Elephas maximus indicus: one gene and its partners. The protein of the gene in region 2 interacts with the protein of the main gene of each other region in a pairwise test. Links are inferred from orthologs where the notes say so. Each region holds a gene or a part of one and is shown on either strand. Other genes may lie near its edges.

What was found.
Region 1: the proteins of TLE5 (region 2) and tripartite motif-containing protein 26 interact in binary tests that used the Homo sapiens proteins (3 or more experiments, as listed by UniProt). The two-hybrid records come from large-scale screens. The link is inferred for Elephas maximus indicus from reciprocal best matches to the Homo sapiens genes TLE5 and TRIM26.
Region 3: the proteins of TLE5 (region 2) and ZGPAT interact in binary tests that used the Homo sapiens proteins (3 or more experiments, as listed by UniProt). The two-hybrid records come from large-scale screens. The link is inferred for Elephas maximus indicus from reciprocal best matches to the Homo sapiens genes TLE5 and ZGPAT.
Region 4: the proteins of TLE5 (region 2) and TRIM41 interact in binary tests that used the Homo sapiens proteins (3 or more experiments, as listed by UniProt). The two-hybrid records come from large-scale screens. The link is inferred for Elephas maximus indicus from reciprocal best matches to the Homo sapiens genes TLE5 and TRIM41.

The regions. Positions count from the first base shown.
Region 1 is NC_064819.1:89,895,524-89,902,991, forward strand, and holds the start of tripartite motif-containing protein 26, read right to left. Parts: upstream 3,001-7,468; 5' UTR 2,379-3,000; intron 1-2,378.
Region 2 is NC_064821.1:6,146,851-6,154,266, forward strand, and holds the start of TLE5 (TLE family member 5), read right to left. Parts: upstream 3,011-7,416; 5' UTR 2,893-3,010; coding exon 2,866-2,892; intron 1,820-2,865; coding exon 1,722-1,819; intron 1-1,721. UniProt on the Homo sapiens protein: Transcriptional corepressor. Acts as a dominant repressor towards other family members. Inhibits NF-kappa-B-regulated gene expression. May be required for the initiation and maintenance of the differentiated state.
Region 3 is NC_064843.1:4,354,530-4,361,768, forward strand, and holds the start of ZGPAT (zinc finger CCCH-type with G patch domain-containing protein), read right to left. Parts: upstream 3,014-7,239; 5' UTR 2,986-3,013; exon of another isoform or gene 2,942-2,985; intron 2,935-2,941; exon of another isoform or gene 2,851-2,934; intron 2,684-2,850; 5' UTR 2,563-2,683; coding exon 2,462-2,562; exon of another isoform or gene 2,460-2,461; intron 2,343-2,459; coding exon 1,695-2,342; intron 1-1,694. Other genes in the region: ARFRP1 (ADP-ribosylation factor-related protein 1), read left to right, coding at 4,033-4,125, 4,337-4,424, 4,585-4,667. UniProt on the Homo sapiens protein: Transcription repressor that specifically binds the 5'-GGAG[GA]A[GA]A-3' consensus sequence. Represses transcription by recruiting the chromatin multiprotein complex NuRD to target promoters.
Region 4 is NC_064820.1:199,954,028-199,961,938, forward strand, and holds the start of TRIM41 (E3 ubiquitin-protein ligase TRIM41), read right to left. Parts: upstream 3,003-7,911; 5' UTR 2,703-3,002; coding exon 1,890-2,702; intron 1-1,889.

The DNA of each region.
Region 1 (7,468 bases), on a different chromosome or scaffold from region 2:
AAAACCAACTTCTTCCTATTCTCTATGCCCTTCTATTTTGACCCTGGGAGTCTTAATCTGAAGTCACTCCAAGGAGCCTCAATTCGGAACACAAGCTCTCTTCTGTGGTTCGCAGTGTCTTCTGGGTGGTCAGTGCCAGTCTGAGTCCAGACCTCTGTCACCCCCTTGCAGGAAGTGACATCTAAGAGGTTACCCACTGTCTCTGGGCCTCAGTTCCCTTACCTTTTAACAAGGAGAGAATAATAATACGTGACTTGCCAAGTTCTCCAAGTTGTCTGAGGTGAGGTCACATAAAAAAAAAGTGTTCTCAATAGCAAAAAATGCTATAAAAATACATGCCAGGACAGAGCACAGGAGTCAACTGGAAACTCCCAGTGGCCAAAGCTGGAATAACTTCAGCAACAAAATAAATGACATAGTATTAGATGATAAACCAAAGTATCAAATAAATATTCATGAGTCCGTATTGATACAAATAAATGACTGAATAAATTAATAAATGGGAGAGGAAAGGTAGCTTTCTCCTGCAGCATCTAAGTGATTTATGTAGATACTCTGCTCTCAGGAGGGGCAGCATAATTCCCCACTGTTTAGGTGTGGTGTGAGCTTCACATAATAACTTCCTTCTTACAGTATGGAAGGGGGGGGGTGGGGAAACACTTCTTCTGCCAGGTGTTCAAGGTTAACATCAGCATGAGAAGTGATGTTGATAATGTTCACCTTTGATATGATGTGGTGAGAAGGGTACTCTTACCAGTAACCCATAACCCCAGTCTTACCATGAGAAAAACATCAGGCAAATTCTAATAGTGGGGCATCCTACAATATACCTGACCAACAGGAAAACTAAACCAAACCTGTCACCATTGAGTCAAGTTTGACTCTTGGCGATCCCCTATGTATCAGTGTAGAACTGCCCCACAGGGTTTTCTTGGCTTTAATCTTTATGGAAACAGATCGCCAGGCCTTCCTTCTGTGGCCCTGCCAGGTGGATTTGAACCACCAACCTTTTGGTTAGTAACCAAACCCGCTGCCCTTGAGCCGATTCTGGCTCAAGCACAAACCATTTGTGCCACCCTCAAAACTGTCAAGATCATCAAAAACAAATAGAATCTGAAAAACTGCCACAGCTAAGAGGGGTGTAAGGAGACGTGACAACTAAATTTAATGTGGATCATGAATGGGATCATGAAACTGACAAAGGATATTTGATAAAAAGTAAGGAAGTGTGAATAAACTACAAACCCGCTGCCGTCCAGTCGATTCCTACTTATAGAGACCCTATAGGACAGAGTAGAACAGCTCCATAACATTTCCAAGGAGTGCCTGGTGGATCTGAACTGCCGACCTTTGGGTTAGCAGCCTTAGCTCTTAACCACTACACCACCAGGGTTTCCAAGTAAACTACACACATCAGTTAATAATGCTGCATCAATATTGGTTCATTAATTGCAACAAATGTACCACACTAATGTAAGATGTTAAAAACAGGAGAAACTGGGTATGGGAAAATTGTGGGATAATATCTGGGAACTCTGTACTATCTTCTCAATTTTCCTGATACTCTAAAAAGTAAAGTCTATTTTTCAAAAACGATCCCCTTAGACTAGGAAGGAAAAAAAAAATGGAACTAGGGATTATGATCTTAATTAACAGCCATGAGGCTTAGGCACGGTGCCTGACACTGATATTTGCTGCATGGGCGACACTCTCCCCTCTTTTGATGCACACACTAATTGCTGCGGTGTCAAAATCTGGAGTGTAGTGGGAACTTGGGGAAGTGCTTACCTCCCATGTGCCCTACATAGGAAAATTTACACACTCGGAATCGACTCGATGGCGGGTGGGTTTGGTTTTTTTTTTTTTTTTTTGGTCTTAAAGCCAAACACAGAGAAAATCAGCGGGAGTGCTCACGGGCTGGAGAAGGAATGAATGCACAGCTCCAGGCAGATCTGGCCAAACCGGTTTATTCTGACTGAAAAAAAAAAAAAAAAAAAAATGCAAAGACACCACGACTTCAGAGTTAGAGGAGCCCGGTTGGCCGTCTATCTCTCAGGCTCCAAGCAACCAGACCGTCATCCCGGCCCCGCTTACTTCTGGCTCCAGAGACAGCACGGATCGGAGCCTGAGTTGGACATGGAAAGACAAGGGAGACCCAAGAGGAAGTGGCGAACTGAGGGTAATAGAGGGAAAAGCAGTAGGAGGGATTAGGCTTGGAGGGTGCGCGCGGCGGACTCCACCCACCTCCGAGCTTGCCCGGCAGCCCGGCCCGGTCCTGCCCCCGAGGCCCGGCGTCCGCGTCCGGTCGCCCCAAACTCCGGGGCGCGTGTCTGAGACTGTTGTGTTGTTGCATTTCTCATCGGAAGCCCCCTACTTACCGGTCCGGGGCTTCGGGCCACGAACGCGGGTCTAAGATCGCTTCTCTCCAGCGGCAGTGTGTTCCGGGACCGGGTGCTCTGCCAGCAGCCAGGGCAACAGCGCCTCCCCGCCCCGCAATCTCCGGCCTCTCCAGGGCACCCGGGCGAGATTTCTCCCGGGCCTGCCCCAGGATTGGTCCCTGCCGAGCCGCGCCAACCAATCGGAACCTGAATTTCCTCTACGTCACGATCACCGGTCGTATACCCGGGATTGTGAGGGGTGTGGGGCAGCGGTGGCCAAAAAATGAAACTGAAATTCGCCGAGACGTGGCTGAGCAAAAACCGCCGCCAGAGTTCGGCGTGTGTTTCGGGCTCCCTTGTTACAGGCGAAAGGGACCCGAGTTCTGAGGCCTAGTGGGCCCGATGAATCCCCGGTGGAGGACTCTAGGGTGCAAGAATCTCCCCCTTCTCCTGAGACCCTCGCCTTCCGATTCCGGCCTGGGGCTGAATGAGTGCGAAGTGGCGCTCGCCGGGTGCTGAACATGAGATCCGACTCTTGGCCCCCAACGCCGCATAAACTGGCCTCCCGGACCAGGCAGGAGCACAGCAAGCGAATTTCCTCAGGGGGCTGTTTATAAAAATTAACTACCATTTATGGAGCGCCTACGCTGAGTAACGCGCTTTTTTTTTTTTTTTTTATATCCTTAAATAAAGCAGGCATTGTCATCCCCACTCGACAGAAGCGAAAACTGAGGTTCCGAGAGCTTGGGAGTAGACCTGTTTCCGCGCTGAATTCTGAAACTACAGAGCCGGACTCGGGTTCCCAGAGTCCTCCATGGGGAAATTTTCACCAGGTTCGGCGCGTCCCAGCCGCCCTCGGCCCCGGAAACAGACCACGCGCAATCGTCCCTGCTGCCCAGTCTGCGCCTGCTTCCTGCTTTGTCTGCTGCCGCGGCACACAGTTCCGTTGCTGGGCCACCAGGTGCTGCTGGTTCCCAGGCACCACGGCATAAAAATCCGTCAGTCTCCACTGCGCGCAGCTACGAGCTGGGTGGGAAGGTTCTCGGGGTCAGCCAGTGCCCTGCCCTAAAGGTTGGACTGGAGAGGGGTGGGGCACAGGTCGCGATTTTGGTTCCTAATCCGTCCCTTGGCGCTCCCCCCCGCCCCGCCCCGCAGCCTGGGCTTGGGTGAGAAGAGGGTTGCAGCTATGTATGGGGAAGGTGTTCATGATGGGGTGAGCTCAGGGCCGTAAATCCTATTACTTGCCTGGCTTGTCCCTCCCCTGTGGGGCTGGCGAAATTTGTAGGAATTACTCTGGGTTTAAGGAGTTAAGTCCCTGGGTGGTGCAACCAGTTAAGGCGCTTGGCTGCTAACTGAAAGGTTGTAGGTTCAAGTCCACCCAAAGGTGCCTTGGAAGAAAGACCTGATCTATTTACAAAAAATAAGCAGTTGAAACCCCTGTATAGCCCAGTACTACTCTGACACACGTGCAGTCACTATCTTAGGCCGGGCTCTCTAGAGAATCAAAACTGGTGAAGGTATCTGTATTGTCTACCTATAAAACCAAAACACCAAACCCTTTGCAGTTGAGTAGATTTATCTCAAGTAAATGGCTTACTCGGTTACATTTCTTGTCCTTGTTATATATATCTTAGAGTATAACCCTTTAAGTGACAAAAATGATCACACTTATTGCTAGAATCAGATATACCAGAAAAAACCAAACCCAGTGCCATCAAGTGGATTCCGACTCATAGCGACCCTACAGGACAGAGGAGAACTGCCCCATAGATTTTCCAAGGAGCACCTGGTGGATTTGAACTGCCGACCCTTTGGCTAGCAGCTGTAGCACTTAACCACTACACCATCAGGGTTTCCAGAATCAAATATATGTTTGCTTAAATAGTCTATATTTCAATTCAAATATTTACCATTTCCTACATTTTTTTTTCAATCTAAACTTAGATTTTATTGACTTTTTTGTTTGTTTGTTTGGAAATAAAATGTCTTCATTCCACTATCTCATTTCTGGTGTGTCTCATTGTGATTTCTATCTTTTGGCTTCTTAGAATTCCTCTACAATAGAACTTGTTTAGAGTTCTTTTGTGATACAGATCCACCCAATTTCTGGTAACTGTAGTAAGACAGCATTTTTCTTATTTTCTTTTGTCTTAAAAGGACTTCATCTAGTTGGGAGGTGTCCTTCAAAAGCTTTTCTGGGGCCTAGGAGGCCTGATCCTGCCCCACCCTCCTTATCTTTTGGTTCATGGTCAAAGACAAGAATTAGTCACCCGAATTCATTTATATATGTTTAATTTGGCTGTTTTAGGCATCTAATGTTGCTATAACAGAAATACCACAAGTGGATGGCTTCAACAAACAAGTTCATTGTCTCACAGTCTAGTAGGCTAGAAGTCCAAATTCAGGGTGTCAGCTGCAGGAGGAGGCTCTCTCTGTTGGCTCTGGAGAAAGGTCCTTGTCATCAATCTTCCCCCAGACTAGGTGCTTCTCTACACAGGAACCCTGGGTTCAAAGGACATGTTCTGCTCTCGGTGCTTCTTTCTTGGTGGTATGAGGTCCCCAACTCTCTGCTTGCATATTTTTGAAGCTTAAAGACTCAGATTCTTTCATAACAACCATACAAAACCTGCTTTCCTTCTTTCTGAACTGAATTCATTCTGCTGGCTAGCGACCTAGTCTCTTAGTCCTAAAACATGCTAGTCTCTTCAGTTGGAAAATACCCCAAAGTGGCCACTAATTTTCCAAACTGTCCCAAATGAGGTTATGCCAGCCAGACAAGAACTTGCATTGTTAAGGGACCAAAATGCTTGTTCATATAGTGAAGAGGAGTCTCAGAAGGTGGCTCTAATCTCCTTTAAATATGGCATTCCCGGTTTTATAATGACAACCAAACCAAATGTTTACTTGCAAGAACCAAACCGAATCCACAATAAAACTTGAAGAGCTATGGAGTGGAGCTCCAACTGAAAAGGTTGTTTTTTTTTTTTAATTTATTTTTGCTTTAAACAATTCCTGAGGATTTGCGGAAGCATAGAGCCCAAAACAGCTCAGTGGTACATTGTCCATGTTTCTGATGCTCCAGGGACCAGGAAAAATAATAACACCTTCGAAATTCCACTTCTGACACTAAAAATGTTGAAGAGCAAAATTCTTAACTCTGTAAGGAGTAGAAAGGAGTGAGTTTTACTGAGGAATAGTACAACTTGAGTCGGGCAGCACCAAGTAAAAGTACAAGATGTTCCAAAGTTCACAAAGGAATGCACTGTTTTTATGCAAGAAAGAGTGTGGCTGCAACCACAAACAGACCTGTCTTTATATCACTTAATCTCTTTTCAAATGTATTCTTCTTGAGAGCAAGCATTTTTCAGGAACAATCTGAGCACATTTTGTGAAATCATAGTTAAATAACCGTAACCACATTTGTTTGCAAAATAAGATTGATTTACCCAAAAGTGGTACTCATGCTTTCAAGCAGCAGCAGGGGTTTAAAACAAAATGGAGTCCAATCCAGACCTGTGTCAGCTATTTTTAGTTATGTCAAGCGCCTCAGTTTTAGAGTGCTCTTTCTTAAGGGGAATTTTCAAACCTATACAAAAGTAGACAGAAAATCATGAACCAACATATTCCCATGACTTAGCTTCAACAATTACCAACATTTTTCTCACTATGTTTCATCTATTCTCTCTTCCCATTTCTTTTTTTAACTGGAGTATTCGACTTGGCGGCACTGGGGTTTTTTTTTGGGGGGGGGGAGTATTTTAAAACAAATCACAGACACAGTATCACTTCATCTGTAAATACTTTTGTGTGCATTCTAACAGATAAAGACTGCTTACCTATACAAAATGATATTATCACTCCAAAATTATATAATTTTCAATAATATTATATCATTTAATAAACCAAATTAGTTGCCAGTTATTCCAGCTCAGGCGACCCCATGTGTTTCACAGTAGAACTGCACTCCATAGAGTTTACATGACTCTGACCTTTAAAATCAAATTTGCCAGGTCTTTTTTTTCAAGGTGCCTGTGGTGGGTTTGAACTGTCAACCTTTCAATTAGCAGCCAAGCCCTTAACTTTGTACATCCAGAGACTTCTAATATCATTTAATATGCTGTCAACTCGATTCCAACTCATGGCAATCCATATGTTACAGAGTAGAACTGCTCCATAGGGTTTTCTTGACTAATCTTTACAGAAGCAGATTGCGAGAACTTTTTCTTCTGCAGCACCACCGAGTGGGCTCGAACCACCAATCTTTAGGTGGGTAGCCAAGCGCAAACCATTTGTGCCACCCAGGGTCCTTACCATTTAATAAACCAAACAACAACAACAAAACCATTGTCATCGAGTCAATTCCAACTCACAGTGACATAGGACAGAGTAGAACTGCCCTATTGGATTTCCAAAGAGCAGCTGGTGGATTCGAATTGCTGAACTTTTGGTTAGCAGCCAAACAATTTAATACTCAGTCCATATTCAAATTCCTCTGTTTTCTGAAAGATCTTTTTACAGCTGCGTTTTTCGAATCCTGATCTAAACAAGGTCTCAACTAGTAAGAAGGAAAAAAAAAAAAATCAAAACATGGAAATAGACAAAATAATGACTGTCCTTTCTGTGTGACACTGGAGCATTTTCTAACAGGTCTACCCAATAATTACCTAATTCTCTTGGGATATGTGCCTTTGCTTTGACTTACTACAGGTAGTCCCTGACTTACCACTTGGTTACATTCTGATGACTCTGTTGTAAGTCGGTTCTGATGTAAGACGGACAAGTACCTCATTTTTTTCTTTTTTTAGTTTTCATTATCACTGCCTTTTATTATCAGTATCTTTATGTAAAAACGGTGTGGGAGTGGTGCCTGACCTCCTCTAACTTCACAAGGGGGAAGGAGAACTGTTATCAGCAACAACCGGCCAAGGCTGATTCCAATGAGGCAGAGGTCAGGCATACCTTCTCTCGATAACCTTCTTACCAATTCTGACACCAACTGTCCCTCCCATGGCACACAGAACTCCTAGACCATACTCACATTTTTCGAGTTTATTAGGGAAGTAACAGGTTACAATTCAGGTTCAGGAACA
Region 2 (7,416 bases):
TTTAGCCTATTTAGACCGAAGCAAGTAGGGGGTCCCCACGGACTGGCTGTCCCTCCATACCCACCTCAGCCACTCCCATCATACCACAGCCAGAAGGACTGGGTTCATAGCTCAGCCCTTCCATGCTCTGTGGCCCTGAGCAAATTCCTCTCCCTCTCTGAGCCTCGGTTTCCTCCTCTGTTAAGTACCAACCTCCCAGGGTGGGGTTGTACAGATTCAATAAATTAAGACAGTAAAGCTTGGATAACACGGCCTGGCATACAGTAAGCACTCAATAAGTGCTCACGGATCTTACCAGGCTGACCAGGTCACAACATCCCACAGTTCAGAGGTGATCCACAGCTGGAGTTTCTTTGCCCCCCACAAAGTTTATTTTCTTTAAAAACGTGCGTTCGTTGGCAGTTTAAAAAAAGCAATCTTACTCGAAACGCTGGGTCTCTGGCCCTTCTTGAGGAAGGCCTCATTCTGTCTGGTTGATCCTGTGTGTGACCCTGACATGGCAGAACCCCCCAAAGTAGAGCAGGACATTCAGGCCCAGTAGATGGAGAACCCAAAGCTGACAGAGGGGGTCTGGCCTGCCCTCTGGCCCTCGGCCTCTGGGATTGATGACCATGAGGTGGGCCTAGGTCAGGTGAAGCCCCCAAACCCTCCACATGGCAGGACTAATGCAAAGTCCCTGGGGCCTGTCTGGCGAGCTGCTTCAGACCTTTCAACTCCCTGTGCCTCAGTTCCCTCATCTCTAAAATGGGTACAGTAATAGGACTGCAAGAATGAGTGAACAAAAAGATTGCATATTTGTTAAAATAAAAATAAATCGCTATTCCCCTTTCTTCTTGCAGAAAACCCAGGATCCTTTGAAGACCATTTTTGTGGGTGGGAAAACAGGTCCAGAGAAAGTCTCAGCCCCACTAGGATTTCTGGCCATGGGACCCACTTCTAATTCCCAGGTGAGGACCCCTCCATAGCAAAAGGGTTGAGAACTTGCATTCTTAGCCCTGGAGAGACTGGGTTCAAATCTAAGCTTCATCACTTCCTTGCTGTCTACCCTGAGGCAATCTCTAACCTCTCTGAGCCTTCGTTTCCTGATGTAGAAAACAAGGTCAATAACAGTTCCTTCTGCTTAAACCTGACACATGGCAAGCCCTTCAGAAATGTTAGAAGACTCAATTCAGGAGGCAGACCCTCCTTTGAGAATCTGCCAGGAGCCTTCTCCCCAAAACGGCAGAGAAAGAGAAGACTGCAAAAAAAAATTTGGGGGGGTATCTTGGACTCGGAGGGTCCTTCTTGGACTTGGAGGTCTTTTACCTACTGAGGACTGGGGGAGGGCTCTGACGCCAGACAGACCTGTTTTTGGGTAAGTCATTTAACTTTCTTGTGCCTCGCTTTTCTCATCTGTGAAATAGGGTCAATTTGAAGAATAAATGTTACTGCTGGCCAAGTGGAGTCCAGGTGGTGCAATGTTTAAGAGCTGGGCTTGCTAACCACAAGGTCAGCAGTTCGAATCCATCAGCAGCTCCTTAGAAACCCTATGGGGCAGTTCTACTCTGTCCTATAGGGTCACTACCAGTCTGAATCCAACGGACAGATTTAGGTTTGGTTTTTACTAGCCACGTGTTTAGGCTAGAAGCTGGCATACATATGACCCTCTATTTCCATATTTTTAAAGTAGATGTATGGGGGTGGCAATCTCCATTCCAGATAACCCCCAACCCCTGGCTCACCTGTGGTACTGGGCCTGCAGGAGCTGAAACTCGTCTTTGATACGATCGCAGGAGTCAGAGGTGGTGAATTTGAGTTGCTGGGGGAGGTGCGACGAGCCCTGTGAGGAGGGGGCCGCAATTCAGGGCCAGGCAGGCTGGGCTGCCTCCTCCTTCCCCGGGGTGACCAGGGGGCGGCTGCCGCCGCAGCTGCAGCGTCCCCCCTCGTGCCCCACTTCCTGGGCCCATGTTTACAGCCTCTGGCGCGGCTGCCGCCCCCGCTTCCTGCCCCCGCCTCTCCCGGGGGAAGCCGAGGGGGTGGGTGGGCCTGGAGCCGCCCGTCCCCCGCCACCCCCGAGGCTGTGGGGGCGCGTTTTAAAGCCTGCCCTTGATGGGGGGCAGGATGCGCCCCCTACCACCCCTCCAAAGCGCCCAGAGAAGGGGGTGCGCATCGGAGCGCCCCAACCACCTGGAGGGCCGAGGCCTCACTGCAAAGTCCCCTTGGGGGAGGGGCGTCTCCCAGCAACCATAATATTTCAGGGGTCCACACTCCAGGTCCCCAGAGTCCTTCCCCAAGGCCACGCTCTTCCGGGAGGATTGCCCCCCCCACTCCAGGCCCCCCAAGCAGCCCCAGAGCAAGGGGTGACCAGCAGGGTTCCCGGAGCTCCCAGGACCAGGCCAAGACCGCCTACGGACCGGCCTGGCTGGGAAGGGGGGGGCCCGGAGCTGGAGAGGTACAGGAAAGGGGGTACAGGACTGGGGAGCTTCGGGAGATTGGACTGGGAAAGTGTGGGGGGGCCCGGCCCGGAAGCTGGGGGGGGCTGGGCCGGGGAACTGGGGAGGGTGCACCAGGCTAGGAACTGGGGGGGAACGCCGGGCCCGGGAACTTGGGGGGGGACCAGGACCCGGAAGCTGAGGGTATCAGGCCTGGAGTAGGGGCGCAGCGCGCTGGGAGCTAGGGTTTGGGGCGCTGGGCCCAGGAGCTGGGGGAAACTGGGCCCAGGAAGTCGGGGTTGTGGGGGAGTGTAGGGCCTGGAGCTGGGGGTGCCAGGTCCGGGAGCTGGGGGGGTGCAGGCCTGGAGGTGGGGGGGGGGTGTAGACCCAGGAGCTGGGGGGTGCAGGCCAGGAGCCGGAGGGGGCCGCGGCGGGCCGGGCGGGCCCCGCTTACCGAATGCCTGCTTTGTGGAAACATCATGTCAGTCGCGGCGGGGGGCGCGGGCTGCGCCCCGGCTGTGCGCCCCGGCTCGGGCTGCTCGGGGCGCCGGGCGCCGCGCCTTTGTCCCGGCGCCGATCGGCCGCTCCCGGGCCGCCGCCGCCGCCTCGCGCGCCCGGCTCGCCGCTTCCTGCGCCCCCGCCCGGCCCGCCGCGCCCCGGGCCCGCTTCCTGCGCGGCCCGCCCCGCCCCGCTCGCGCCCGCACCCGCCGCTCCTATTGTCTAATGGCGGCGCCGCCGGAGTGGCCGCGGCCGGGCTGCTGCTGCGAAGGCTCCGGCTCCACCTGCTGCCGCCGCCGCCGCCGCCGCTGCCCCGTGCGCGCCGCCGAGGGGGGGGCGCGCGCCCGGGGAGCCCTGCGGCGCCCCACCCCCGCCGCCGCCCGGGCCGTGACCTTGCTCTGGGCCTCAGCCCCCGGCCCCCTCCTGGCCCCTTGGCCGTGGCGGCTCGCCGGGCCTCGGTTTCCCCAACTGTCAGAGGAAGGGGCCAGGCTGCCCTGGTCTACACCGCAGGCCCTATAATGGCGCGCCCTGGACGCGTGCCACCCACATGCTCCGTGACCTTGGCACGGTGGCTGGTGTCTCTGAGCCTCAGTTTCCTCAGCTGTGGAAAGGCAAGTGGGAACCTGCGGCCCTCAGAAGAGTCGTTGCTTCAGTGAGCATTTATGGAGCGCCTACTGTGTGGCCAGGAGCCCTAGTGGCAACGGTTAAAGGTGGGAGGTTGGAACCTACCCATCTGCTCTGAGGGAGAAAGGCATGGTTATCCACTTCCCTACAGATTCCAGCCTAGGAAACCCTATGGGGCAGTTCTACTCTGTCACATGGGGTCACCATGAGTCGTAAATCGACTCCACGGCACACACCAACTGTGTGCCATGCCCTGCTCCAGGCGGTGGGGTGGGGTCCAGATGCCCTTGTGGAGATGACATGTGACAGAAAAGAAACAAATCCTGAGGCCACAACCCTGAGGCGTCAGGTGGACATAAAGGGGTGCAGTATTAAACAGGGGGGTCAGAGAGGGCTGCCCTGAGAAGGGGACATTTGAGAAAGACCAGAAGAAAATGACGGAGGGAGCCAATAGGGGCATAGAGGTGGCACGTGCTCAAGGAGGCAGGAATGGCCAGTGCAAAGGCCCTGAGGCAGGACTGTGCCTGGCACACGGGGAGCCTGGGAAGCGATGAGTACCAGCATCACCCAGTAGCCAAGACATTATACCTAAAAGGGCCAGGGTTGGTTTAATGCTTAGTTGTGACCGTTTTAAAATTATTGATTTTTTTAACAAGGTGATCTGCAGTTTTGATTTGCATTCCAAAAAAACAAAAACAAAAAGAAACCAAACCTATTGCTGGCAAGTCGATTCTGACTCATAGCGACCCTATAGCACAGAGTAGAACTGCCCCATAGGGTTTCTAAGCTGTAATCTTAATGGAAGCAGACTGCCACGTCTTTCTCCCTGAGAGCCGCTGGTAGGTTCCAACTACGGACTGAGTGCTTAACCACTGAGTCACCAGGGCATTGGGCCCCGCAAACTGTAGTGGATCATAGAGGGAGGTGAGGGCAGGGAGGTAGATGATACAGGGCCTCACGAGTGTGGGGAGGACTCGGGCTTTGACCCTGAGGGAGGTGGGACTCTTTGGAGGGCTGTAAGCAGAGGAGAAAGGGAGGGAGGGGCCCTGACTCCCTGACTTGGGTTTTGACAGTATCCCTCCGGCTGCCCCCCTAGTGTTTGTCAGTTTGTTGTACCGTGGGCAGGGCGGGGGGGCTTGCATATTGCTGTGATGCTGGAAGCTATGCCACCGGTATTCAGCTACCAGCAGGGTCACCCATGGAGGACAGGTTTCAGCTGAGCTTCCAGACTAAGACACTAGGAAGAAGGACCTGGCAGTCTACTTTTGAAAATAATTAGCCAGTGAAAACCTTATGAATACCGTATCATATGCGTGTGAAAGCTGGACAATGAAGGAGGAAGACTGAAGAAGAATTGATGCCTTTGAATTGTGGTGTTGGCGAAGAATATTGAATATACCACGGACTGCTAAAAGAGCGAACAAATCTGTCTTGGAAGAAGTACAACCAGAATGCTCCTTAGAAACAAGGATGGCGAGACTGCGTCTTACATACTTTGGACATGTTATCAGGAGAGACCAGTCCCTGGAGGAGGACATCATGCTTGGTAAAGTACAAGGTCAGCGGAAGAGAGGAAGACCGTCAATGAGGTGGATTGACACAGTGGCTGTGACAATGGGCTCAGGCATAACAAGGATTGTAAGGATGGCGCAGGACCGGGCAGTGTTTCCTTCTGTGGTACATAGGGTCGCTCTGAGTCGGAACGGACTCAATGGCACCTGCCAACAACAACAACTCCGGCTACCGCATGAACAGACCCTGAAGAGGCTGCTGAAATGACGTGCGCGTTAACATCAGCCCCTAAGCCATCAGGTCAATTCCACTTCATGGTGACCTCATGTGTTACAGACTTAGAACTGAGCACTGTAACGTTTTCTTGGCTGTCATCTTTACGGAAGTAGATTGCCAGGCCTTTCTTCCTCAGTGTGACTGGGTGAGCTCCAAACCGTCAACCTTTCAGTTGGTTCACCCATTGCCGTTGAGTGGATTTCAACTTGTAGTGACCCTATTGGACAGAGTAGAACTGCCCCATAGGGTTTCTAAGGAGTGGGTGGTGGATTCGAACTGCCGACCTTCTGGTTTGCAGGTGAGCTCTTAAGCACTCCACCAGCAGGGTTGATTGGAAACCATCTGCACCACCCACGTATCTTCAGATTGGCTCCTGGAAAACGCTAAAGACAGGGTCCGTTAACTGTCATCATCATCTATGTAGGCGTCCTCCGCTGTGAATGTAACTCCTTTGGGCCTTGAGTGTTCCCATCTGTAAAATGGAGCATCAGAACCCATCTCCTTTCTGGCAGTTAAGGGACTGGGACTAGAGTGACATGAGTGGGCAAAATTGAAGGGGACACCCCCCCAAACTCCAAAACAAAAACCTCAAAAGTCAAGATAAATAATATTTTAATGCAATATTTTTTAAAAATGCAAAGAAATCTGGGATGGACAAAGTGTCAGCATTTTAAAGAAGGCTCTGAGGGAGCCCAGATCGGGGTGAGAAAAGATTGGAGTCACGTAAAGTGCACTCCTGCCCTAGTACTGACGCCTTAAGAGAAACCGAGTGAACTTTTGTCAAATTCTTCCATATTCTTGTGGGGTTCTGGAATAAGCAGACCCATAAATCATACTGGTGAGGGCTAGCTACAGAATTTGCTGGGCCCAGGGCTAAATGAAAATGCAGGACCTCTTGCTGAAAAACATCAAGAATTTCAAGACAGTGATAAAAACCAAAAGCCAAATCCATTGCCGACGAGTCCATTCTGACTCATGGCAACCCTGCGTGTTACGGGGTAGAACTGCTTTGTAGGGTTTTCTTGGCTGTCATCTTTGTGGAAGCAGGTTGCCAGGCCTTTCTTCTGTGGCCCCACTGGGTAGATTCAAACAGAAACCGTTTGCGCTATCCAGGGACCTTAAGATGGTGAGCTCAGAAAGACAGTTTTAAGGGGTCTTCCTGAGCTCGGGGCCCTGGGTGACTTCCAGGTCACAGCAGAGGAAGCTGGCCCCCTCCTCCAGCCCTGCCATAGGGACTGGACCCCTTTCTCCTGGGAAACCACCTGAATCTGATCTTCATCTAGGCAGGCACCTGCCAGTACCAGGGCACACTCCCATCTTAGGAGCCTCTAGCCAGACACAGACATACCCAGCCCCGAGGGCTGGGCCTTAGAGAGGGACCCACAGTTTGCCTTTGAAGAAGGGGAATTTTGAAGAAGTAATTTTCAGAAGAAAGGGGTTTTCAAGTATATAGAAAAGCCCGGAAGTGTGGCCCAAACTATGAAAAATAATACCCCAACCAACATATGTATGCATTTTTATTACACGCCAGGGTCTGTCTTAAGTGCTTGAATGCTTAGATACTGCCATCATGCCCATTTTAGAGATCGGAAAACCAAGGCAGAGACAGGTTAAGAGATTTGCCCAAAGTCACACAGCTGGTAGGTGGCAGGGCCAGGATTTAAACCTATGAGCTCCCTGGGTAACGCAAACAGCTAAGCGCTTGGCTACTAACCAAAACGTTGGCAGTTCAGAACCACCCCAGGTCACCTCGGAAGAAAGTCCTAGTGATCTTCTTCCGCAAAGTCACAGCCAAGAATACCCTATCGAGCATTGTTCTACTCTGCAACACGGGGGGTTGCCAGCAGTCGGGGTCAACGGAATGGCAACTGGTACTGGAGTCCTTGACCACAACACGGCACTGACCTAGGTGGGCCATGAAGCAGGTGTGGTGGGAGGTATTGGCTGAAGAGGGCCAGGAGCCATGACTATACAGGGCCCTGCATCCTGGGCTGAGGAGTTGGGATTTTGGGGAGCACTAGGTAGTGGCGTAGTGGTTCAGTGCTGCAGCTGTGAACCAAAAGGTTGGCAGTTGGAATCCACCAGGCGCTCCTTG
Region 3 (7,239 bases), on a different chromosome or scaffold from region 2:
CTTCCCCCAATTGTGAATTTATCCCTACTCCAAGGTCAGCAGAATGCCTCAGGGCGCTTAATAGGGCCTATCTCAGGCCAAAGGAAATCAACAGCCACTGAAGCCGACTTGGGGGCTGGGAGCACGTTAAAATATACGCAAGTACCTAGCTTTCGCCGAGAGCACCGTTCCTCTCTGGTTCCGGAGATGTGGGCATGCCGTGCAGCTGGCTGCTTCTCCCTGAGGAAACCACGGCCTAACGCTACCACCAGCCTGCCGCAGCCACTCCTGGGAGTGGTGCCTGGGGGTTCCCGGCAATTCAGGTGCGGCAACTCCTCTCCGCTTATGAACTGTCTCTCCCGTCCCCTGCAGCTCAGTCTATTTTCTAACACCGCCTTGGACGTTCAGGGCTCCTTGCTTGTCATAAATATAATCGTTTCACTTGTTTTTTTGGGTCTTTGTTGTAAGAGAAATCGCAGGAAGCACCTGGCTATTCTACCATCTTGGCCGCGCCTCCTATCTTAGTTTTAAAAATCCAAAGCAAATTCAAGAAAATAACTTATCAGCTCTGGGTGGTGGAAAGGTGGGTGTTCACGAGATGCTTCAGCCAAACTCCATCCCTGCTGAGCTTTCAGCCTGTGAAATGGAGCCGCACGGATAGATTACAGCACTAACGTGTGGGGAACTCTTACAACTGCACACCTGGCCTGCAGGAAGCACCAGCTGGAAGTGCTCGCCCTCATCATCCTCCTAGGACAGCACATATAGACTCCGTGGTGAAAGCCTCCAGGAGGACTGAGGTGGGAAGCCTGTTCCTGCTCCTGTTTGCTGATTACACAGGTTCGTCCAGTGGGAAAACCCACTGAGGAAATTTATGATTTACACACTGTTCTGTACACACGTCATATTTCAATAAACACTGCAGAGAAAAAGGAAGGAGAACTTTGCCAAATAAGATTCTGGGCCCAAAAAGAATCTATAAGTCGATAACACAGTCAAAGAACGAGGATTAGTCACCGTGTCTGCTGGCTATAAAGAGGAGTTATCGACTGGAAGTGTCAGTAAATGTCCCTTTCAAAAACAGTAAAAAGGAAAAATAAAGTTAGATATTTTAGTAAAAAAGATATCATGGCGACAACCGTGGAAATCTGAGCGTGACTCAGGTATTACTGCTACATCTGTGAGGTATTATAACTACGTGATGTTTTTTATTTTACTCACGTCTGTGTCTGTTAGAGACGTATCCTAAAATACTCGCAGATGAAAAAAACAGTAACTCTTAGAATACGCCTTAAAGTATTCAAACTGGGGAAAACGAACAAAACTGGCAGAACGCTGACAACTGATGAAGCTGGACGACAAGGTAGGGGCAGCATGATCTTACCCTCTCTAATTCTGCGCGTGTTTGAAATTTTTCTTAATATAAGTAAATCGTAAAGGTTTCATTCTGGACAATACTGCTCCTGATGCGCTAGAAGCCTATTCTTTTCAACATAAGCTCTTCTGTCCTTCCCCCCAGTAAAACTGAAGTAGATATCTAACTGTGGACACTTCTGTGGGAAGCTACTGCTTCACAGAGCTCTCTCCTTGTCAGCCACTCTGCTGGGTCACGGAGGACAAAACTCCACCGCACAGACAGAGCCAGCTGGGATCCTGCCGCTCTCCGCATGTCCCTTACACCCTAACTGCTGGGGCACCAGAACAGAGGGCTTTACCTGCAGTTCTCCTTGAAGCGGCACTTCCCCTCCAGGAAGAATGGGCAGGGCTTCAGGGACTTGTGTGTGGGGTAGAGGTACAGCACCCGGACAGCAGCCGAGCCATCCTCTGCCTGTTCCGTGCCCACAATCATGGCATTGTGGTACTCCAGGGTGCCCCATGGGCTGTAGTAGGGGGCGTTCACCTTTGTCCCACTCAACTCTTCCTCCTCGTCATCCCCCCCTTCTTCTTCCTCTTGCCCAGGGTTGTTGGGTTCAGGCCCTGCCTCTCCTTTAGAAACAGTCTCCAATTCTGCTCCTGGGGCTTCTGGTACCTCAACTACCTCAGAGATGGTCTTCTGCAAAGCCAGGTACTCAGTATCCTCCTGGGCCAGGTGTTCTTGGTCCAGTGTAGCCAACAGTTTGCTCTTCCTGACAGACACCAAGCTGGCTTCAGTGAGCTTGATCAGCTCCTTCAGGTCTCCCTGCAGCTGGTGCAGGTCAGCCTGCTCCGATGCCTCCAGGCCAGTACCCATGGCCAGCTCCACTTGCTGAAGCTGCACATGGTAGGTCTGCAAGGCCATCTCCAAGCTGTCCTCATCCATCCTGCCGTCGAGGACACGGAGGTGTGTCCCTAGGTCCTCAGAGAGGAGGCTGCCGGAGCCAGAGCTGCAATGAGAAGGCAAATGAGCCCCGAAGTCTGCTGCCCTCATCCCGACACCACCCTGTAAGGCTGAAGCTGACTGAGCACCGGTTTGGCCGTGCTCTGTGCAGAGCCTTACTCACACGGTCTCAAGAAACTCTCAGACAGGCCGTGAAACAGCTCGGCGATTTCTCCCGTTGAAGGATGAGAATGCCGACAAGGGGGAGAACCAGCAAGGAATCCCATCCGATGGCCCCACAACCTCGTTTCCGCCGACGAAGAGCTACGCTTCCCTCCCAAGGCCTCCCTGGGATCATGCGTCGGGCTTGACCGGGGTTCTCCGTGTCCTGTCTGAGCTCGGGGCTCCCTGGTAGGCGACCAGAGAAGCCCGCGTCAGCTCCCCTCAGTCCGGCCCGCGACCCTCGGCCCAGTCAGCCCTCGGAGCCGGCCTCAACTCCCCCTGGGCCGCCCTGAGTACCCTTCGGGCCGACTCCGTTCTCCCGGGTCCACGCCCACCTCCGCGCCACCTCTCACCTCAGGCTCAGGCCCCGTCCCCTCAGAGCACGGTCCCCCCATCGCCCCGCGCGGTTACCCAGCAGCCGCCATAGAGCACCGCCCGCCTCACCGGCTAGAGCGGTCGGGCGACCCTCCTTCCGCCCTCGCACCTACCACCACTTCCGCCCTCGCGCCGCCGCCGCCGGAAGTGCGCGGCGCAGAGGCCGCCGGGAAGCGGTGCGCGGGGGCCGCCGGGAGCGGGTCTGGGTGGCCGAGGCGTCCCAGCAGGCGCAGCGCGGGGTCAGGTGCGGGTCGGGCGGCGGCTCGAGGCCCGCGGACAGGTAGGTCGCGCGTCCCGGCCGCCCCTCCCGCCGGCGTGAGGGCCAGGGGCAAGGCCATGGCAGTTCGCTGTTCTTGACAGGAACTCGGAACTCAGGGTCTGCGTGGGCGGCGGGGCTTTGGGCGCCGGGAGCCTCCGCCTCGGACGCCCGGGCCGGCCTTTCGCGGCCACCGCCGCCTCCAGGGGTGCTGCCCTGCGAGATCGACCCCAGCGGCTGCCGCAGCCCCGGCCCTGTGGCTTGTCTCCAAAGAACGGACGTCCCTTTCTCGTAGCCTCCTGTGGCTCCTGGCGAGTGCTGGCTCGAGGTGGGCGAGCAGGCCTGCGCCCTGGCACAGCCGGAACTTAAAGAGCTTTCGGTTGCCCAGGCTGAGTGGGAGCGACCGTGTTCCAGGACCCGCGTGTGAGAAAGCTGAGCTTGAGCGGAGTGCGGCCTGGTGGCCGGGCGCTCAGCGCCCGAGGGCGTGTGCCTGCGCGTTCGCACACGTGGCTGGGGTCCTCCGCGTACCGGGAGGGCGAATCAGGGATGGGACAAGAGTCCACATACGTCCTGAAAGGCCACAGTCGTTGTTGTGAGCGGAGTGACCTGGAGAGGCCAGGGCTAGGACTGAGGAACTCCGTGAGTGGTCCTGGGAAGGCTGTTGGCCACCAGGTGGTGGCAGTGGAGAAGGAGGAAGCAGGCCAGTTTGGGAGAAGTGGAGGCAGAGTCAGGAAGCTTGCTGAAGAGGTGGTGGAGCAGGGGTCAAGAGTGGCCCCTGGGGTCCTGGTCTGAGCAGTTGGCAGGACAGACCACGGATGGGGTGCTGTGTCCCAGCTGTGGAAGCTGGTGGGCAGTGAGGTGTGGGTTGGGCCACCCCTGACTGATTTGGGCGTCTCAAGGCAGGATGTACACGCTGCTGTCGGGCCTGTACAAGTACGTGTTCCAGAAGGACGAATACTGCATCCTCATCCTGGGCCTGGACAATGCCGGAAAGACGGTGCGTGCTGGGGCCCTTTTGGTTTTAGGCCTTCAGCTGCACACTGACCACCGAGACAGATGTTGAACCCCTTTTGAGGCCACAGGAAGGTCACCCCCCAGTTCCTCTCACATTGATCTGCCTTCTCAGGAGTGGGCCCAAGAAGGGACATATGGGAGGCAAACTTGGAAATTGGCTCTGCCTGCTGGCTGATGGTGTCTTCCCTCCTCAGACTTTCCTGGAGCAGTCAAAAACCCGGTTTAACAAGCATTACAAAGGGATGAGCCTGTCCAAGATCACCACCACCGTGGGCCTGAACAGTAAGTTGGGCCTTCAGGCTGCTCGTGTGGGGTGCTGAGCCCTGGGACGCTGCAGGGCCCCTCACGTGCCTGTGGGCAGCCTGCTCTTCTGAAACACAAGTGTGGGGGAGGTGGGAGATTCAGAGGAACAGGGTCACAGCCTTGTGCTCTCCTTCCCCAGTCGGCACTGTGGATGTGGGGAAAGCACGCCTCATGTTTTGGGACCTAGGGGGGCAGGAGGAGCTGCAGTCACTGTGGGACAAGGTGAGCTGCCGTGGGAAAGCGTGTGAGTGTGTGTGTGTGTGAGTGTGTCTCTGTATGTGTAGAGAGCTTGGGCCCCGCCACCCCACCTCTCCAGGCACCACCTGCCGCCACCCCTTTCCTCTCCGGACAGTGCCCCTTGTTCTCAACCGCCCTCAGGACCTGACTCAGCCTCTTTCCATCTCGTTAGCAGCTGCTTCATCCACTTTGTTCCTGAGGTTTCTCTTCCTGATCCTACCTCAGGCTGCCTAGTTGCTTCCCCAGAAGCAAGGAAGTCCTTGGTTGTTCTTAGCTTAAAAATTTTGTTGCTAATGATCACGAGACATGGACAAGTGACAGCCGAGGACTCAGTGCGGGCAAGTTGCAGAGGCTCTGTGGTGCTTAGCTGGTGGCCACTTCCAAGTCTCTTCTGATGGGTTTGAGCGTCTCCTCCCTCAACTTGGGCTTCAGTCAGCAAGACCTGTTTTTGCATGGTGGTTTCTTCTCTTCAGGGGGACGGCTTCCTCAGAGGTGGACAGCAATGCCTTCTCTTTTGACGTGGGTTTTGGGCACTTTGGAGGTCTCAGCATGGGGCTCTTCTGCCCCTACACCCCAAGACAACCCACACGGGATAGAGTTGGTCTTCAGCTCAGCCGTGTGCCTGCAGTGAGCAGACAGACCAGCCCCTCCCACAGAGAGCCCCTCTTCTCAGATTGGTGTGGGGCAGGACGCAGAGGTCCCCGCCCTGATACCTGCCAGTTGCCTCTGTGTGGGACCAAGTGCCGAGTGCTGGTTTCTCACCCCAGCAACAGGCATCCAGCAGTGTTCCTCCTGCCTGGCTTCAGCTGAGAGAGCGGCTGTCTTGCCAGCCAGAAGCTCTTGGCGTGCTCCGTGTGACCACCGGCACTGGCCGGAGGCTCTTGGCGTGCTCCGTGTGACCACCGGCACTGGCCGGAGGCTCTTGGCGTGCTCCGTGTGACCACCGGCACTGGCCGGAGGCTCTTGGCCTGCTCCGTGTGACCACCGGCACTGGCCGGAGGCTCTTGGCCTGCTCCGTGTGACCACCGGCACTGGCCGGAGGCTCTTGGCCTGCTCCGTGTGACCACCGGCACTGGCCGGAGGCTCTTGGCCTGCTCCGTGTGACCACCGGCACTGGCCGGAGGCTCTTGGCCTGCTCCGTGTGACCACCGGCACTGGCCGGAGGCTCTTGGCCTGCTCTCTGTGACCACCGGCACTGGCCGGAAGCCCTTGGCCTGGTTTTTGTGACCACCAGCACTGGCTGGAAGTTCTGGGCCTGCTCTCTCTGACCACTGGCACTGGCCAGAGGCTGACCGAGCCCAGGGCTCTCCTTATCAGAACACCAGACGCACATGGGAAGTAGAATAGGCCACATGGGATACATTTCCTTGTCACAGGCCAGGTTCTCAAGCAGACACAGACTGGGGCGCGGGGTGTTTATTGAAGATCAATACCTGGGAATAGAGCGGGGAAGATGCAGCCGTGGGTAAAGTGAGAAGTCATGCTTCAGTGCAGGTCCGGGAAGGTGTGGTCTGGCAGGCTGGCCCTTTGCAGATCCTGGAGAGCTGAGAGTAGGGCTTTCTGCAGGCACTCTGTCTGTGGCCGGCAGTGGCTGTGCTGCCTGGGCCACTGTGCACACGTGAGGTGGCTCCTCTGGGGTCCCAGCGGTCTTTCCTCATTTTCCGTCTGCTGACCTTCTGGGGCCTTATTGTGCTCAGCTGCCATGTCCGCTGGCCCCAGTGGCTTACCTGGCAGAATGACCCAGAGTCCGCAGCAAGCCCTGGGCACCGAGCCTTCCCCATGTGCAGTCCTGGGGTGGGGCACCCAGTCCCGCATGTGTTCCCCCAGCGCTGTGGACTGCAGCCCTGCCTCCTGCAGCTGGGCTCAGTTACCTCTACACGAGGCGTCTCCTTTTGGTAACTGGGGTCCCTGGACACAAGCCCAAAGTGGTGCAGCCAGAGTTTGTAGTTGACTTGCCTTGCCGTGTCCTCTAGTGAGAGTGCCCTTTAGGGACCCAGGCCTCAGGGTGGAGGGCCAGTGGCACCGGCCCCAGCATATCACTGGAAGGGGAGGGCCAACCCCCTGCTTCCTCCCCGGTTCCCAGACCTGTGTGTCCTTGAGGGAGAGGGGAGGTATGCACCACCTGAAGGTACTTCCTGCAGGAACTCCACGTGAAGGTCCGTGATCAGTGAGTCTGCTGTGTTCTGGAGCTTGTACCGTAGCAGAGGGCGGTGCCTAGGTGTGAGCACATATAACGAGTGGCTAGCTGCCAGTCATAGTCTAGCTGGTACCTCCTTTTCTGGGGAGTCCCAGTCTAATGTGATGTGACAACATCCGTACTGGTGTTTGACCCGGTGAGCCCTCAGTGCTGCTGGAGAGTGTCCTTGGGCAGGGAAGACAGACTTACACGCAGTACACACGTCTGCAGGAGAGTGGGAGAGGCCCAGTGTAGTCAGCCTGCCGGCATGGGCCCAAAGGCTCCTAGAGCAGTGACACCCCACCAGAGCTCCACACTGTTCTCTACTACTGCAGGGTGTGTGGTTGGCAGCAGTTTTCTCAACCTTGTCAGCCACTGTGG
Region 4 (7,911 bases), on a different chromosome or scaffold from region 2:
GGGTTCGAACCACCAACCTTTAGGCTAAGAGTTGAATGCTTAACTGTTTATACCACCCATGGACTCCCTTCAGGGCCTAAAACAGGATTTTCAGGCAGCTGGCATTTGGTAGATGTGACCAATACAAATAAAATCCAGTTTCAGAAGGTCCTTAGAGGAGTCCTGCAGGAGAGTGGAGGAAAGGAGGTGGAATGCCCACGGAGAGTCTATCCCTGGTTCCAGTTAACGGAGTGACTGCACATTGTGTGACTGGTACAGTTAACTAGGAACTGAGGGGATATAAAAAGACAACGGGTGTTCATAACCTCCCATAAGGATACACGGGTAAAAGGCAGGTGATGTTAACCAATGCAGTGATTCCTAAACTGGGCTGGGCTCTCCTAAGAATTCTCCCCACACCAATTCAGAATCTCTAATGGTAGGACCCACTGTACTTTTGAAAAGTTCCCCTAGGAATTATGAGAGTTAGCCAGGTTTGACAATCACTCCTTGAAAGGAATAGTTAGTGATAAAGGGATATAGGTCTTAGCCGTACATACTCAGAGCTGAGAAGCCCTAGACATGTTACTCTAAAATTGACATAACAACAACAACGAACCTAACTTGAGGTGACTGTAGGAATCAGGAGAAGGTGTGAAAACACAAGTCAGAGCAAAACAGCACCGCACAGACCACAAAGAAGTAGCCACCCTCTCCTTCTCCTGGTCCTGCTGCTTTCAACCCATCCAGGCTTTGGCTTAGTAGTATTTACAAACAAATCTCCTTCACCTATGTCCAAGAAGAGTCAAGATCAGAAGAAGGGGGCAAGATATTACCCAAACCAGAATCGGTCTCCAAAGAGGAAGGTCACATGTCAGAAATGTCAAACTAACAACAGACATCCAAATGGTGGTAACAGCTTCTAATGGATCGGGGGGCAGGGGAGTCATAACCAAATCCATTTATTAGTAGCTCTGTGGTCCTGTATACATTACACCTTTCTGGTTCTGTCTCCCAATCTGTAAAACGGGAATGAAAACATACCAAAATCACAGTTTTTTAAGCTTTAAATAAGAAAGTCCAGGAAAAGCGTTTAGTAGAGTACCTGGTATACACAGTAAGTGTTCGATAAATAAATTAAAAAACCCAGTAAATATTAACTATTAATCCTGACTTGATGGCACCTAACAACAACAGCAATCATGGAGAAATTAAAGTTCAAAAGATTCAGAGACTTGCCCAACACTTGACGGCAAATAAGTGGCAGAACCAGGTCATCTAACTTAAAAAGCTTCTCTCTTTTTTCTGTATGTTACAAAAAGTAAGAAGTTCTGGTCAGTATATCAGACTGCTGCAGATCCTACAAAAGTTCTCAAGGGGAGAACCAAACCAAATCATGGGGTGGGTAGGGAACTCCAGTCAGGAGACAAGTGGGGGGCACCTGTCATTTTTACGCTCTGCTTCAGAGCCCAAATTATTGTTCTCTGAGAGTCCCCATCTCTTGGGGTCTCCGTCAAAGACAGGCTTAAGATTTACCCAGAGGAAGTGGAGACTAGTATTAAAGCACTAGGGGCCTGTCACCTGCACTCCTACACTTAGGGACAGTGGAAGAGTGAAACAGTAGTGGCCTGCTCTACGGGAGATGCAGCCCAGTAATCTGGCATCATCAGCTTTGCCTTATATCCTTTGAGGAGGCCAGTCTTCGCTGGTCTTCTTTGCTGTATCTCCTTTGTCGGTGTACAGGACCCTTCTGACCCTACCCCACCTGGGTGCCAGTAAGTAAATGCTCACATAAGGAGAATCAGCTCACCAGTACATGAGGTTCTTGGGGGGGAAAGACGCTTCCATTTCCCAGCTCCCCTTACTTTCTCTCCACCCCCACTAAATTCCCATCTTCTCTCTTCTCTCACCTTGTACTCCTGCACCACCTCCTCCAATGGCACCACGCTGTGCTGTTTGTGGCTCCTGGATTCTCGGCACACTACACAGATGGCCTCTTCGTCCACTTCACAGAAGAGTTTCAGGGCTTCTTGGTGTTTGGGGCAGATGCCCTGCTCGTTCCCACGACTCGCTCGACCAGGGGCTGGGTGCATCTGCCGAATCACTTGGACCATGTTGGCTAGCTGCAAGTTCGGACGGAAGCTCCGCCGGGGAAAGCTCTTTCGGCACTGGGGGCAAGTGAAGCACCTCCGAGGGGCAGGAGGCGGAGGCAGTGGGGTGACGGGATCTAGCTCCTCTTCCTCATCCTCCTCCAGTACCTCCTCCTCGTCCTCCTCATCCTCCCCCCTCAGGTCCTCCTCCATGTTCCCCAAGTAGTAGTCCAGGTCTTCCTCCTCGTCCTCCTCCTCCCACACGTAGTCCATGTTGTCCCAGTTAGACCCGCCCATGCCATTGGTCCAGAACACTCCCTCTTCTTCCTCCTCGACCTCCTCCTCCATATCGCCCTCATAGTCTTCGTCCCGCATGGGGGTGTCCCACCCCCCGCCGGCTCCCACAGCCTCCACTTCTTCCTCGTCTCCGTCCTCCTCCTCCTCCTCCTCCCGGTCTAACTCGTCCCTGTCCTCTTCATCCTCCCCGCCCCACAACTGGGTTACACACACTCGGCAGAAGTTGTGCCCGCAGCCGATGGACACGGGGTCCGTGAAGTAATCGAGGCAGATGGCGCACACCGCCTCCTCCTGAAGGGTCTGCACAGGGTTGGGTGTCATGGCAACGGCAGCCATCTTAGCGTCCAGTCAGCCAGTTTAGATGTACGGTGGGGGCGGGGAGGGGGGCGGGGGGTCTTCCCTCTCAGACGCCCTGGCGACCCGGCCCCACCCCCAGCCCTGCCTCTCCACAGCTCGCTTCAAGTGCCGCCTGAGAAATGTTCTTCTGACAACCCACCCCTCCACACAGAGCTCCCTACTCCCAGACGACAACCGTGTCTCTGCGTGGGCAAGGGAAAAAGCTGAACGCTATCGCCAACTCCCTCAGGTGGCCCTGAGTGCAAATCCACCCCAACGCTTCCCTGGCCTCCTCATAAACCCCCGCCCCTCCTCACTTCCTGGCCCCGCCCCCTCACTTCCGATTTCTCACCCAACACTTCCGGCGTCTACGCGCCAGACAGGCTCGTGAGTTTCCCCCCCCTTCCCCGGTCCCTGGGCGACAGGAAACGGCGAGGAGACGCTCTAGCGGGCACTCGGGAACAGGGCGGGAGGGATAGGACATAGGAGCCCTACATCTCTGTGATGCGGCGGGGTGCGGAACGCAGAGCAAAAGCCCCGCCCTTCCCCTCCTCAGTCACTGGAGAGAAACTTGGGAGAACGGTGGGAGTACTTGGCGGCTGTCCGCTCTCGGTGCCATGACCGAATCGGCCGGGCGCCCCCCTACCGGCCGAGTACAAATGACACCCGGGCCTCAGCGCTGCCGGTGCCGGAAGCAGAGGGGCGGGGCTTCCTTGAGCGCTCTGCAGCGCTTCGGCCCTTCTAGGCGGAGGACTTTGTTGTTCGAGCGCTCAGATTTCCTCGGTGATGGATCAGGGGGCGGAGCCAGAGACACCCTACCACTATAGTTGGCCTTGTCAAAAACCTCAATTGTTTACAGAAACATGAAAAATTAGCGTAACGGAATATATTTATTGAGTAGATACTATTCCACTCAGGCAGCGGTCACCCGAACGTGTTGGGAAGACTCTCCGAGAGGAGACTGTGAAAGCGGGTTATAAAGGTCAATGTTATGTTAATTTATCAAGAGATAACATCAAGCACAGGGCAGGTTACAGAAACAGTCAACAAGGACATGCCATATATTCTAAAACAGCCTTTAGCCAGACCCTGGAACTTCTGCATTTCGAAGCTGAATGCACAATGCCTAAGGCCAATGTCTCTGCTAAGCGGCATACTGAACTCGTTTGACCTGAAGGTGACTCCAGGGAACCAGTTCTTTAAAGGTTCAAAAGAACACCTAAGGGCTGATGGCCTGGGTGGGTCACCCCACTTCCATGAACCCAGAAATCTGGATTTCAGGAGAATCAAAACGATTTTGTCAGCATCTTCCATGCCCATTTTAGAGATTGTTGCCTGATCACTGTAGCCTCCTGTAGGTGAACTTCCCTAACTCCCATCCGTAAAGGGATGGTGACAGATCTTCACACGAGGAGCTCTGGAGTCGCAGTGGTTAAGACCTCCACTGCTAATCAAAAGGTGGGCAGTTCAAATCTACCAGCTGCTCCTTGGAAACCCTGTGGCCGCTCTAACCAATAGGGTCACGCTGAATGGTAATCGACTCTACCCAATGGGTCTGGCTTTTGGTATATCCACACAGTGGAACACTATCTGTAAAATGCAAATCCATCTTCAAGATTTATTAAGTGAAAAAAGCAAGATACAGGCAATGTCCGGGCTATGAACGAGATTCCTTCCAAAAGTGTGCCTTTAAGTCAAACTCGTAGGTAAGCTGGAACAGGTGCATATGTTTCTTATTTAGCCTTCAGTGCAAGAAAAGTCTCGATGCCTTTTCAGTGATTTAAAAGTTGCCTGTGCAGCAAGTGAAGGTGATTGTGATGAAAAATTTGTTGCAAGTAGCAAGCAGTTGGTTCAATCATTTAAAAGTAAAGACAAATTTACATAAAGGGCAGGTACCAGTTGTCCATAAGTCTGACATCAGTAATCTCGGGACTTACTGCACAGTGTGTAGAGTATGTCCTCATCTGTAAAAAAGAGGAATATGTTTCAAAGATGTATTTGATATTTGCACATTCCTGCGCTTCAGTTTACTCATGCAAAATGAGGATAATAGTACCTACCTCAGAGGTTTGTGAGAATCAGAGCAAATATGTAAACCGACAGAACAGTGCTAAGCACATAGTAAGCGAGATACATTAGCTACGCATTACTTATCCTTTTCATCAATGTCTCTGCAAAGATACTGGCAGCCGAGTTCTGCTGAGAAGGCAACGGAATGGCCAAGGGTCACGAGTAGGAAAGACACTTTCCCTGTATCTTTCTGTCTTCTTTGAATTTTGAACCAAGTGAATGCATTACCTTAAAAAAATGAAAATACAAAACTTTCTAAATGCCATCGATTAATTCAACTAATACTTTCCGAGCTGTGCACCACACATATTCTGCTCACAGAAAGCCTCAAGGTTTGTCTTCTTGGTGCCCTCGTCTACGAACAGGGCCTCGGACTGGGTTTGTGGAATTGATTTTACTTGAGGCAATTCTGTCCAGGCTGTGGAATTGTAGTAGTAAAGATGCCGCTGTGGTACCCAACATCACTACTAAGTGGATTTCATGTGTGATAGCAGTAGTTCTAGATGCTTTGTTTAAACTTCTTGTAATTAACAGCAATAACAAAAACCTGTGAGCCAAGTTCCTGCCCATAATGTTCCCGGTGGTGCAGTTGTTAAGTGCTCGGCTCCTAACCGAAAGGTCAGCTCTGAGACAGAAAGATGTGGCAATAACCTCCAGTAAAGATTTTTTAAAAAATGCGAATCACCCTATAGGACGGAGTAGAACTGCCCCGTGGAGTTTCCAAGGCTGTAATCTTTACAGAAGGGCACTGCCACCTCTTTTCTCCCACTGACCTGCTGGTTGGTTCGAACTCCGGTTAGCAGCCGAGCGCTTAACCACTGCACCACCAGGACTCCTTCCACAAAACGTTACAGCCTTGGAAACCTTATCGGACAGTTCTACTCTGTCCTCTGGGGTCGCTATGAGTCGGAATGGACTGAATGGCAATGGGTAATGTATGTGCAGAATTGCCAGCGAGTGCCAAATGCTGAGCGGTACCAGGGCACCACATCCAGAGTTTACCCCTTTTTTTTTGGAGACACTTTTCGCCTCGTGAGGAACTCCAGAAGAACAGGAGGTTCCGAAGTGGGTGGTCCGGGGACTCTGAGCGGCTGACCCAAGGCGCGAAAAGCCACGAACCCGGCGGTTCGCAGAGTGCGCGCAGATGTGAGCTGAGCGGGCGCCCGCCCAGACGCACTGGCTTTAGCGCTAGAAGTCAGGCCACGGGACTTGAACACTGCGGAGTGGCAGTGCGACGCGCCTTTGCGGATTGCAGTCGCACTTAGAGCTGCCATTCTCTGCCACGTGTAGTTTGAGGATTGTATTAAGGATGTGCTGATAATCTGTGTTTTTGTAGTGTAGTGGCTATCACGTTCGCCTCACACGCGAAAAGTCCCCGGTTCGAAACCGGGCGGAAACAGCCTTTTCTGGTCTATTTTTCATTTCGATGCCCACGTCTTCACGGTTATCTCGTCTGCGGCTCGAGATAGGGGGAGGGTGCTGTCACATGGAGGCATATACAGACAGATGTGTGTATCTAATCTGTGTTTCAGGGAAACAGTAAAGCGCGATCACAGCAGAGCTGGGCTCACACCAGATCATAAATGTTCACAATGTCAATTCAGCTAAAAAAAATTTTTTTTTTTTTACTACTCTTGCCTTCGGAAGCCTGGGCCGCCACCTCCTCCGGATAAGGGCTGTAGGTTGTAGGCTTCGGATCCCCGGACCTTTGTGTCTAGGGCGCAGCCAGGCGCACAGTAAGTGATCCATGAATTCTTGTGCAATTAATTCTGCAAAACTCCTTGAAGTGTGTCCGCACGCCTGCTGTGTATCCCGGTTTCCTGAGGCCGAAGAAAAAGGGTTGCGGATGTTGTCAGACTATCTCAGTCGGTAGGGCACGAGACTCGTGAACTCACGGATTTGAGCCCCACATTGGGCGTGTATTCTCTTTTGAAAATGAAAATGGCTAAGGAATTTTTGTGCCAAAGAAGAGTCGGAGGGAGACTGAGTGGGCTTTGGCATCGTGGACTGGCGGTGTTCGCCGAAGCTTGGCCAGACAGGAGGTCGCCCAGGTACTGACTAGAAGACCTCGAGTTGGAAAACCCACAGCCGTAGGGCTTTGCTGACCATAGGTGAACGAGTAACTGGTGGGTATCAGCCGACCAACTCTTGGGGCTCTTCACCCTGGGTCACGGCTCCGCCTGCTGCCATCTACGTATCCATTCTTCCATCTATGTTCAACAAGTATAAGGCAACTTCTGTTTACTGCATCCGCCCGGGTAGTGGGGAATAGCTCCGAAGGAACGGAAGAGTTGTGGATTCGCTGCCATGGGGCGTGGCTTCCCAAGGCTAGGGAAATAAGGGCTGCCCCAGGAGGTATTCTTGAATATCAAAGCCATAGCAGGGGGAGTTGAGACCACTTTTCTAGATGATTTAGAGGTTAGACGCTTTCACGGCCTCGGCCAGGTTTCAGTTTCCGATCAGGGAAGACATGCTCTGTTTAATCTGAGACCCTCATCCTCAGCATATGCTCTCAATTTTAAGAGTTGATCTTTTGTGAAATGTTGCTACACACATTCCAGCCTTCATGTTCCTCCCACAAATGTGAAATTTTCCTTTACTTTGAAACACCCTAACGTTAACATCCTGTTTACCGACCTATTCACGAAATTCTTCTTAACTTCAATAGAAATTTGTTCGTTTATGTTGACTGTTTCCTCAGTTCTGCAAATTCCGCCTGTTTTCTATTTTCCAGTTGTAAAAGTCACCACCATGTACACACCAGACCACGAGAGAAATCTGTTTGTCATAAGTAAATAAAGCTGATTTATTGCATTTGCTGAGCAAGGGGGAAGAACATCACCTTGACAGTCTCAGAAATGTGTCGAAGGGGGGAGACAGAGAGGATCCTTAAGGCTGGGGGGGGGGTGTGGTTTAATATGATACCCTCGGAGGGTGGTCTGGGCAAAGATCAGAGTTTGTAAACTAGGCAGAGTTGCCAGTACAGTCAGATGGCGTGAATCTCTGGGGAGTTACTGTTACTATGACCTTATCTTGGAATTTATGAATCTGAACAAGCTGGTATTCAAGCAATTTGAACGTTGTCATTTTGTTTCACCCAGATACTTGCCGGTTGGTTTGCAAATTTTGGCTTCAGGGT